3 linked regions of the Kluyveromyces lactis genome follow. The protein of the gene in region 3 interacts with the protein of the main gene of each other region in a biochemical or structural test. Links are inferred from orthologs where the notes say so. Each region holds a gene or a part of one and is shown on either strand. Other genes may lie near its edges.

Evidence for each region.
Region 1: the proteins of UBI4 (region 3) and DUF1 form a complex in vitro, tested with the Saccharomyces cerevisiae proteins (2 studies listed by BioGRID, with this or other methods). The link is inferred for Kluyveromyces lactis from reciprocal best matches to the Saccharomyces cerevisiae genes UBI4 and DUF1.
Region 2: of the proteins of UBI4 (region 3) and PIB1, one has a biochemical effect on the other in vitro, tested with the Saccharomyces cerevisiae proteins (3 studies listed by BioGRID, with this or other methods). The link is inferred for Kluyveromyces lactis from reciprocal best matches to the Saccharomyces cerevisiae genes UBI4 and PIB1.

What each region holds. Positions count from the first base shown.
Region 1 is NC_006042.1:1,965,466-1,969,194, reverse strand, and holds DUF1 (Duf1p), read right to left. Parts: upstream 2,823-3,729; coding exon 159-2,822; downstream 1-158. Other genes in the region: MHF1 (Mhf1p), read left to right, coding at 3,255-3,572; MRPS9 (mitochondrial 37S ribosomal protein uS9m), read right to left, coding at 3,672-3,729. UniProt on the Saccharomyces cerevisiae protein: Ubiquitin-binding protein involved in the resistance to phenanthroline, sanguinarine, nordihydroguaiaretic acid (NDGA), isopropyl (N-3-chloro-phenyl)-carbamate (IPCPC) and guanosine 5'-O-(2-thiodiphosphate).
Region 2 is NC_006039.1:1,270,940-1,273,859, reverse strand, and holds PIB1 (phosphatidylinositol-3-phosphate-binding ubiquitin-protein ligase), read right to left. Parts: upstream 1,646-2,920; coding exon 665-1,645; downstream 1-664. Other genes in the region: HIT1 (Hit1p), read right to left, coding at 1-129; AAA family ATPase SEC18, read left to right, coding at 2,061-2,920.
Region 3 is NC_006041.1:74,306-77,608, forward strand, and holds UBI4 (ubiquitin), read right to left. Parts: upstream 1,789-3,303; coding exon 643-1,788; downstream 1-642. Other genes in the region: ECM29 (Ecm29p), read left to right, coding at 1-379. UniProt on the Saccharomyces cerevisiae protein: Ubiquitin exists either covalently attached to another protein, or free (unanchored).

The sequences.
Region 1 (3,729 bases), on a different chromosome or scaffold from region 3:
CATGATTTCAGTCACGTGCCTGTCTTGTGTTGGTATGGAATGCTCTGAGTCAAGGGCGGCAGGTGTAGTTCTATGTTTGTATATATGTCTATATTTAGTTATATATATATATATTGATAAGCCTGGGTGAGAACTTAGTCTCACAGTCTCTCTTAATTTTAAGTCGGTTTACGTCTATATTCAAGAACAATGTCTGTGTTTGATTTCCAGTATAAAGTGCGTATAGCACTCAGGGTGATATCGTTTTCTAGTACTGTTCCTTTGCACAAGATTTCTAACCATTCGCTTGGATCTTCTTTGTTTTTCATCTCAGGTGTCTTTGATTCGAATCTATCCACTATGTAAGTCTTGATCTTTTTTGCCTTTATCATATTTGCAGCTGTTAATCTAACATTGCTATCGTTAATCTTCGGTAGCATTAAGGGTGATTCAGGTGGTTTAGATTTTTTGTGGAACCCTGATCTTTTATGTTCTACTACTAGTCTTTCAGCCTCTGGCGATTGTTGCGTTTCCTCCGATAAATGAGCCTCGTCCTTCCAAGGCTGGATGATGAATGTGATTTTTGGGTACGTCTTAATGACTTTATCCTCTTTGAAAAGAATCTTTCCAAGCCATATCGGGAGATGTCTTTCTAATGATTCATAAGTATGGTAGTTATCGATCAAGTCGTTTGCCGTATATGTAGGGGGTGGGAGATATGTGGAAAATGCAATAGTTTCCCCTGTGGACCCCTCTTTCCAATGGTTGACCGTGAGAATGCATCCACTCTTGATTTGTATCACGGGTCTAGTTGAGTCTCTGATGAACAAAGTCTCGGGGATCCGCCTCCCAAACTTCATGAACGTTGATGAGGAGTTTGGAGCCTGTTTCAAATAAGCGTGATAAACTTCTTCGATATATTCGTTCAAGAAAAGTCCTGGCTTTCGTTCAGACAGATCTTTGGAAAAACTCTTTGAATTGAATTTGAAGTTCACTTCACCATTCCCAGTAGAAGAGATACTATGAAGGTCATCGATGCTGTTAGTTTCTAGTTTTACCCTCGATGATCTGTTATGGAAACCAAATGTGCTTGAAGGTGTAGCAGATCTCTCGATACTTTGTTCAGTAACAGACCTTGTCAAAGTGAGGTTCGCCGGTTTCGATGAAGTAGGTAGAGCAGTTGCTGGGCCAGGTAACATCATTCCCATCTCATCTTCGCTTTCTTCGATTATGCCGTGATATGTATGTGGGACGTCAGGTATACCATTGGGGGTGTTGGGGGCCGAACTTTGCGGGGTAGTGTTATTTGATTGAGTGAACTTGGTAAATATAGATAATCGTCTTTTCTCCTTGATACTTTTGTTGTCTTTATGTTGATCAGGGTTCGTATGGTCAGAGGCCATTGAGTTGTGTCTTCTTAATAGATTTGGAGTAGATGGAGGAGTTTGCTTCTTTGTGGAAGAAATATCTTCTCTGAATTTCTTATCCTTCGCCAATTCATAATCAATAAAACCATGTAATAATGAATTGACAGCTATACGACCCAAATTGTATCTTTCGTCCAAATTAATTTCGTCAACTTTATCCTCGTTGACTATTACATAATCGGTGAGGGCACTTCCGTATACTTCGGTATTCAGGAAACGTTCATTGATCTTTACAAAAAGAATGCCTCGTTTTATCGAAACGGAGCACCAGTGCTGTAAGACTTCTTTGGGATTCAGTTTTCTGACCACCTCATCGAAATTACCTTCGTCTCGGCTGATTTTTTCAACCAGCTCACAAGAAACAATATCCCACTTCTCCAACTCACCGGATGTATTTTCCGTGATGACATGTCTGCGGTTTGTCAACAAAGAACACCGCACTAGTGCATGGCCACCTTCTATAACCGTGAGCTTCTTACTCAACAAGTTCAACTTGTTTAGATCCGAATTTCCTGATCTGGAGAACCACAACACATCTTCTATAATGGCCATTGCCAGAATGCCACCTGTTTTTGTGTCGCAATCGCTTGGCTTGTAGATAACAGATATCTGATTACCTTGAAGTTGCGTTATATTACCCATGCAGTCGCCAAGAAATAAATCTTTAGAAAGCGTTCCTTCTACCGACCATATTGCGTGCGACAACTGTTTGGTCCAAAGGCATTTGCCACTTTCAACATTCCAAAGTTTGATCTCTCCATCTGCGCTTGTACTAAGAACGGTTGTTTCATCATCTAAAAGCTTCAAAGTCTTTAAGTTCACACCAGCTGCGTCATCTATGGTTCTTATCACACTGTAACTATTTATATCGTACCAGCTTAAACGGCCTTCGTTATCTCCAAAGATAATGACGTCCTTCGTAGCAGTCAGGCAATAAATAGACCCTGCATCATGATGCGTGGTGTTATCGAATTTTCCAAGTAATTTAGCTTCAACGTCTTCCTCGTTCTCCACCTCAAAAAGATCCAGTTCCCAGATCTTTAGCTTCTTATCCAAACCTACCGTGGCGTATCTGCATTTCATGTCTTCTAATCCTATTAAAGCTATCCCCTTCACATAGTCAGCATGGTAGCCGACAATCTTATGGTTCCAAATAGTCGTTTTCCAGTTGTAGCAGATAGTGAAATCATGAGACACCGTTAAAAATTTGGCGGCAGATAGGCAAGCTATGCCACTGATCCAATCGCTATGCACAGCCAACTTCGTCTGAGTCTCTTCAATAACTACGTTCCCATCACGTCCAGTAGTTATCACAGTAGAATCTAAGTTTGTAATTGAGCTGATGGGCAAAAGATGCTTCGTATCAGAATCCAGTTCTAACGGAAGCAAACCGAACGACAACGTATACTTGCTCATTTGTTGAACCTATTCTTTTGCAATACCTAAAACAAGATGTCTCTATAAGTTATCAGTTTCGAGCAAAAGGATAACCTGACTCGTATTTTCACAAGCATACACCTCACTAGTGTCTCGTCAAGTAGTAATTTTCACGAAAAACGTTTGCGCCTCACTTTCTAACGCTGTTCTTTGTAATCTCCATCTTTTATTTATCTGATATCAAACATTCTGTTGTCTTCGTTATATATATGCAAATTGCCTCTATTCTGGAAACTGTTGAAAACATGAATATAATTGATATGCATTGGGAATGCGGAGATATCCAAGATATGCAAGATATACAAGATTACAATCGATTGAGCAGTTCGTTTAGAGTTTTGAGCTGGCAATTCCTGACTTGGCATTGTCCTGTGGGCTCTATTCATGGTAGCGTCGTTCAGTTGATCAAATATGGATGAAGAGAAGAGATTACGATCCCAGTTACGCGGGAAGCTGTGGTTCTATGTGGAATCGATTATCAAAAGAGAACTACCAGAAGATGTAAAATACAATTCAAAATATGTCAACACTCTTACTGAACTGGTTTACCAGCAGATATGTGAGGTTGGTGGTGATTTGGAAGCTTTTGCCCAACATGCTAACAGAAATGTTGTTACGTCTGAAGATATGTTACTACGAACAAGGAAGAACAAGGATCTACAAGATTTTTTGAAACTACGACTAATGGAACTACGAGATGCTAACGTAGGACGACAGAGTAAAAGGTGAAAGGAGCTTGTTAAATTATGTAAAATTGCTATATATGTACAGGACTTGTGAAACAAGCATGTGTTTTTTTTAATGGAAAGGTCAGAGACTAATATCAGATCAACGCTTAACCCAGGTAGGCATCTTTCTTGCCTTTCTCTTACCAGGCTTCTTTCTT
Region 2 (2,920 bases), on a different chromosome or scaffold from region 3:
ATTACTTTCTACATTATCTGATTCTGACTTCTTTATGTTCTTGTAACAAACTAACGAACAATACCTAACCGATGATTTTGGACATCTATAAAGTGCTTCTTTATCACCACAAACCTCACACTTAACCATGACACAAAGTTAGTTTACCTCACACGGTATAGTATTGTACGTCTCCCAAAGTAGCTTGTTATCCCACAATCTTTTTATTCTTAATCTCATCTCATCTCATCATCACTCATACATTACATTGCATACGTGAAGTTTAAGAGTCTCTTTTAATTTCTTTTCAGCCCAAAGCTACATTTCGTTAAGTATGTGTTTCGCATCTGTTTCTCATATGTGTCGTGTTGCCATCCTGTTTCCCACATGTCTTTCGCCATCCTTTTCGTCTACTAAGCAGTCAGCCAGGCCAGTAAGGAGGAGTGGAGGAGGGTAGTGTGGTAAACTGGCAGGCAAACCAAAAGGACCAAAGAAATTGGAACACTCGGGACATTTTGACTTTCTTTAGGTCAAGTGATAGATAATGACGGACAAGTAACTGCAAGTGGCTTTTATAGTAAGCGAAGGTATATATATATGTGATATTGTATGCAAGTTTGTGCTGTATGCAAATTATGTATTAGGTAGTTATTAGTATTGGATATTAAACGGCTTAAAAAGCACATTAGTAGTATACTGCGTCATGAAATGGACAGTAGTTTTTACCAAGCATGGAGACAGAGTCCTGAGTTGCGGAATTCACCGTAGCTAATTTTTGTACCTTCTTCTTAAACCAACTCTTTATACAGTGATAATGAAACACACATAGGCACTCTAGCCTACCGACTTTTTGTCCTGGAGCCATTTCTTCGAAACATATTGGACACTCTTGAATATTCGTAGCGTTTTTAGGTATTTGGTATACGAGCATTCTGTTCTGGTAAGTTGGACTTCCGATAAGACTATGCTGCTGTTGAGCAAGTTCTGCTTGCCGTATGCATTCGCTTACATGTTCTTGTTGGGCTGCTTCTTCTGATCCGAAAACTTGTAAGTCAAAATTACAAATTGGACATCGATCGTAATCTTCATCAGCAGCATGTATATTCCTGGGACTATTTCTCTCGCTTTCAGTTTCTCGTACATTTTCCACAACGTTTTGGTTCTTCATAAATTCAAAAGGCCTTATGGACGATGATCGGATGGAGTTGATTTCGGAAGTAGATCCCATAGAATTTCCGATTCGTCTTGGTGGTTTCGGTAACTGTATTTCACCCCACGCAGTTCTCAGTAGCTTCATTTGTAATAGATTTTCATAGCAGGAATCACAAGTCCTGTACGGTTCCATTTCATACTCTGCTGGACTTTTCAAAACCACTTTAACCCGGTTTTTATCATACCATGCGAATTTTGAACAACAAGTAGCACAATAAATTCTGCCACAACATCTACAGTGATGACGCCTCACTAGAAAACTAAACTTGATCCCACAACTTAGACACTGCGTCACATTCTCATCCTTTTCCCACTCGCCAAACTCGTTCACAAACTGACTGGAAATATTACCATTCCGCCATCTGTCTCTGTCTCTCCTTGCATTATCCGAAGAACCAGTGACAGTCATCGTTTCACCATCGACGTGCCCTGCCACCAGAGCACCAGTAGTCATGTCAAAAATTCAGCTGATTTTCTATGTAGCAGCCAATAACCTGCTGTGTTCACAGAGTGCTCTACTGTCTTGGACAATTGATTACAGCCACTATTGTGCTTTCATGATCTCATCCTTAAAATGATGTGCTTTCTGTTATAAAACTGATTCTGTTGACAAATTCCTAATGTTAGCAGCATACATTCTGAAAAAAAACCATGAAATCGAGGAAACAATAGGTGAGAAACAATACTTTACCTACAATTAGACAGACAATTGCCTGAAAACAGTACGAGAAGACTAAGTAATATAAGGTATCGTTATCAGATCTTTAAAAGCTAACTATACAGTTGAGTGAATATTATATTCTTTTTCTTCAATTGACAATCCAAGAGTTCACAGAAAGCTATAAGTGTCATTGCGCCCCTTTTGAAATATGGAGAAATTCGGGTTGAGTGGCAAGTTGCCATCTTTTGGAAAGGCCACGCATTCTACAGGGGTACCTGATATGTCTAATGTTAATATGAGTACTAGACAATTGCGTGTCGCTAACTGTCCAAACAACAGTTATGCATTGGCTAATGTGGCAGCTGTCTCACCAAGCGATTTACCAGAGAATATTTACGTTATTATAGACAACTTATTCGTGTTTACCACAAGACACTCTAACGAAACTCAACCTGGTACCATTGGATTTAATGGTAACCAACGTACTTGGGGAGGTTGGTCATTGAATCAAGATGTACAGGTGAAACCGTACGATTTATTCCAACATTCGGGCAAGCATGCGTATCTAGGATCTGTGGATCTGGAAATCAGTTTCAGGTCTAGAGGAAAAGCCGTGGAGACTCCTTTTGATCAAGATGAACTTGCTAAGCAATTTTTAAAGAGTTTTGAATCCCAAATATTCTCACCAACGCAGTACTTGATATTCGAGTTTAAGGGACATATCTTCGATCTAAGAGTAAGATCAACGCAAACTATTGATTTGGGAGATGTAGAAATTGTAGCTCCGGTTTCTACCTCAATTGAAGCTAAGGCAATCTTAATCAAACAAACTCAGATAAACTTTTTCAAAGGAAGAGATGGATTGGTTAATTTGAAATCGTCCAACTCGCTGAGACCAAGATCGGATGCCGTTATTAGACCTGATTTCAAATTTGAAGACTTAGGCGTTGGTGGTTTAGACCGCGAATTTACCAAGATTTTTAGAAGGGCATTCGCTAGCAGAATTTTCCCTCCAGCTGTTATTGAAAAGTTAGGCATCTCCCATGTCAAGGGTCTTCTATTGTTTGG
Region 3 (3,303 bases):
TACCAATAATGTGATCAAGTTGGTGTTCGAATTTATGAAAGGAATGTTTGAAAGTTCTAAAATATTGTATAGCTGGAGATCAGAATTGGCCTATTTTGACGTAGCAATTCTTCTCATTACACCATGGACCAAAACTGAAGTTTCCTCAAATGATGTATCTCACATTTTCATTGATATCTGGAAATATGGCCACGCTCTATGCAACAAGAAAGAAGTTATTGAAAGTGTCAAGATAAAGCTGATAAGGTATGGTGGGCTATTGAAAGAAAAGTTCCCCCACACCAATACCATGGTCGACTTTGGCATTTTGGAGATTCTTAGAGTGGATGACTCCTCAGTATTGAAAGCTGAAGCTTTAAATATTGGAATATCTCAGTAGAAATTGCCAACGGATGATATATTACTATCTTCTACTATTTATAACATTATCATAGTTGTTATGTATCTCTGAAAATGTATATAATATATACAAGACCCTAAACTTTTTATCCAAAGAATGTAAGGAAAAAAAAAAAATGCAAAAAAAAAAAAAATTGAATTGAGTATAAATGATACAACGGCTTTGCGTGGTCTCAAGCTCGTTAATAAACTCCCTATCGAGTTTCACTCCAGTAATCGGAAATATGAAATAAATCTTTACCATTAGATGCCACCTCTTAATCTCAAGACAAGATGTAAAGTGGATTCCTTTTGGATGTTATAGTCAGACAAGGTTCTGCCATCTTCCAACTGCTTACCTGCAAAAATTAATCTTTGTTGGTCTGGAGGAATACCTTCTTTGTCTTGAATCTTAGACTTGACGTTATCGATGGTGTCGGAAGATTCGACTTCCAAAGTGATGGTCTTACCAGTCAAGGTTTTGACGAAAATTTGCATACCACCTCTTAATCTCAAGACAAGATGTAAAGTGGATTCCTTTTGGATGTTATAGTCAGACAAGGTTCTGCCATCTTCCAACTGCTTACCTGCAAAAATTAATCTTTGTTGGTCTGGAGGGATACCTTCTTTGTCTTGAATCTTAGACTTGACGTTATCGATGGTGTCGGAAGATTCGACTTCCAAAGTGATGGTCTTACCGGTTAAGGTTTTGACGAAAATTTGCATACCACCTCTTAATCTCAAAACAAGATGCAAAGTGGATTCTTTTTGGATGTTGTAATCGGACAAGGTTCTGCCATCTTCCAACTGCTTACCTGCAAAAATTAATCTTTGTTGGTCTGGAGGGATACCTTCTTTGTCTTGAATCTTAGACTTGACGTTATCGATGGTGTCGGAAGATTCGACTTCCAAAGTGATGGTCTTACCGGTTAAGGTTTTGACGAAAATTTGCATACCACCTCTTAATCTCAAAACAAGATGCAAAGTGGATTCTTTTTGGATGTTGTAATCGGACAAGGTTCTGCCATCTTCCAACTGCTTACCTGCAAAAATTAATCTTTGTTGGTCTGGAGGGATACCTTCTTTGTCTTGAATCTTAGACTTGACGTTATCGATGGTGTCGGAAGATTCGACTTCCAAAGTGATGGTCTTACCAGTCAAGGTTTTGACGAAAATTTGCATACCACCTCTTAATCTCAAGACAAGATGTAAAGTGGATTCCTTTTGGATGTTATAGTCAGACAAGGTTCTGCCATCTTCCAACTGCTTACCTGCAAAAATTAATCTTTGTTGGTCTGGAGGGATACCTTCTTTGTCTTGAATCTTCGATTTCACGTTATCGATGGTGTCAGAAGATTCAACTTCCAAAGTGATAGTCTTACCAGTTAAAGTCTTAACGAAAATTTGCATGTTTTCTCTTGATCTAGTTTTAAGGGGAATGAGAGGGGGGGGGGTAAATAATTTGGGGTGAAATAGTATAACCTTGAGTCAGTATCTTCTATGAGAGAAACTCTTGATGCTCCTTCTTAACCAATATGATGTTGTTAATAATATCAGGAAACAAACTGCCAAAATAACCCTTTTGTTTTTATATATACTCCCTTTTTTTTTTAAAAAAAAAGGAACTTGTTCGCTTATTTCTTTTATTTTATCTCCCTATCAGTTCTTACTAATAACGGAGAATATAGCACAAAAAATGAAAATAAGAACAATAATGATAGCTGCTATGCTGTCCAAACTTTCAGAATAGATATATGAATGCGATATAGGTAGTAATAGTATCTAACCCGAATAATATCTTAGAAAAAGATAAACGTATTTAGAGAATAAACGGGGGAAAGAACAATCAGAAGTGGCAAATACGAGAGAAAAAAAGGCGGCCGCCCAAGTGATCACTATTTATATAAAAGCATCCAGTGTAATCAGTTTCGCTCGGCCTAAGGTGGCCGTTTGAAAAGAAAAATTTCCCGAGAGGGAATTCGATGGAAAACCGGCAGTTTGGAATCTGTTACGTTGCAGCCATCTCTGTATTTCAGCCTTGTATCTTTAACTGTTTGCAATGAATCTTTTCTCCGGCTTACAGATCGCCATGACTTGAGGTTTATGATTGCATGACGAAGAGCGGGGATATATGGAATGAACTGCTAACTTTGATTGTTCAGAGTAAAGAGCATACCGCTTTGTATCCACTGATACCTTCTGCAGTACAGTGTGTATATGCAGAGGTAACCATGGAAACTCATGGAACAATGAAGTTTATCCTTTTTTTTTAGACTTGCGGGGAGAATCTAAGATACAGACAGACGAAAAAAGTGACTCGAAGTCATCCACGTGATTAAATCAGGGTAACATACATCATATTTTATCTGCCTGGCTTCTCCTAAATTCATTCTTGACCTTTCAGATGCTCCCGGAACATACCCAGGCCAAATATCTCTGTCATTGAGGTTCCTGGCGGGATAATTCGGACTGCCCAGAATCTCTTCGATATTACTTGTCTTATAGTCCTAGATGACACTTTTTTTTCGACTCTTTTTATGATAGCGGTGTTCTTAACGCCTTTGTCGTATACTCAGGTGACACTTTCCATCATATTGAGCTGTATGGTCTTTCTCCATTCAGCATCCGAGGAAAGGGACTTCATTAAGTAAGGAGTCCAAGAAGTTCTCTGATAGGCATGTAGGCTGCCGTAGGCGATTGAGCGGCATTTAATTTAGTCGAATTTAGAAGAAAATGCAACAATTTCTGTACTTTTTTCTCGTATCGATAGTGAAAAGGGGAGACAGCACAAACAAAAACAGGAATTTTTTTTTAGGCAAAAGTAAATAGTACAACTACTAATGGGGTTACATTTGCATTATATCAGTTAGCTTTAAGTATTGATATCTTTTTACAAAAATATTAGAAAGCAAACTTACCGTTATC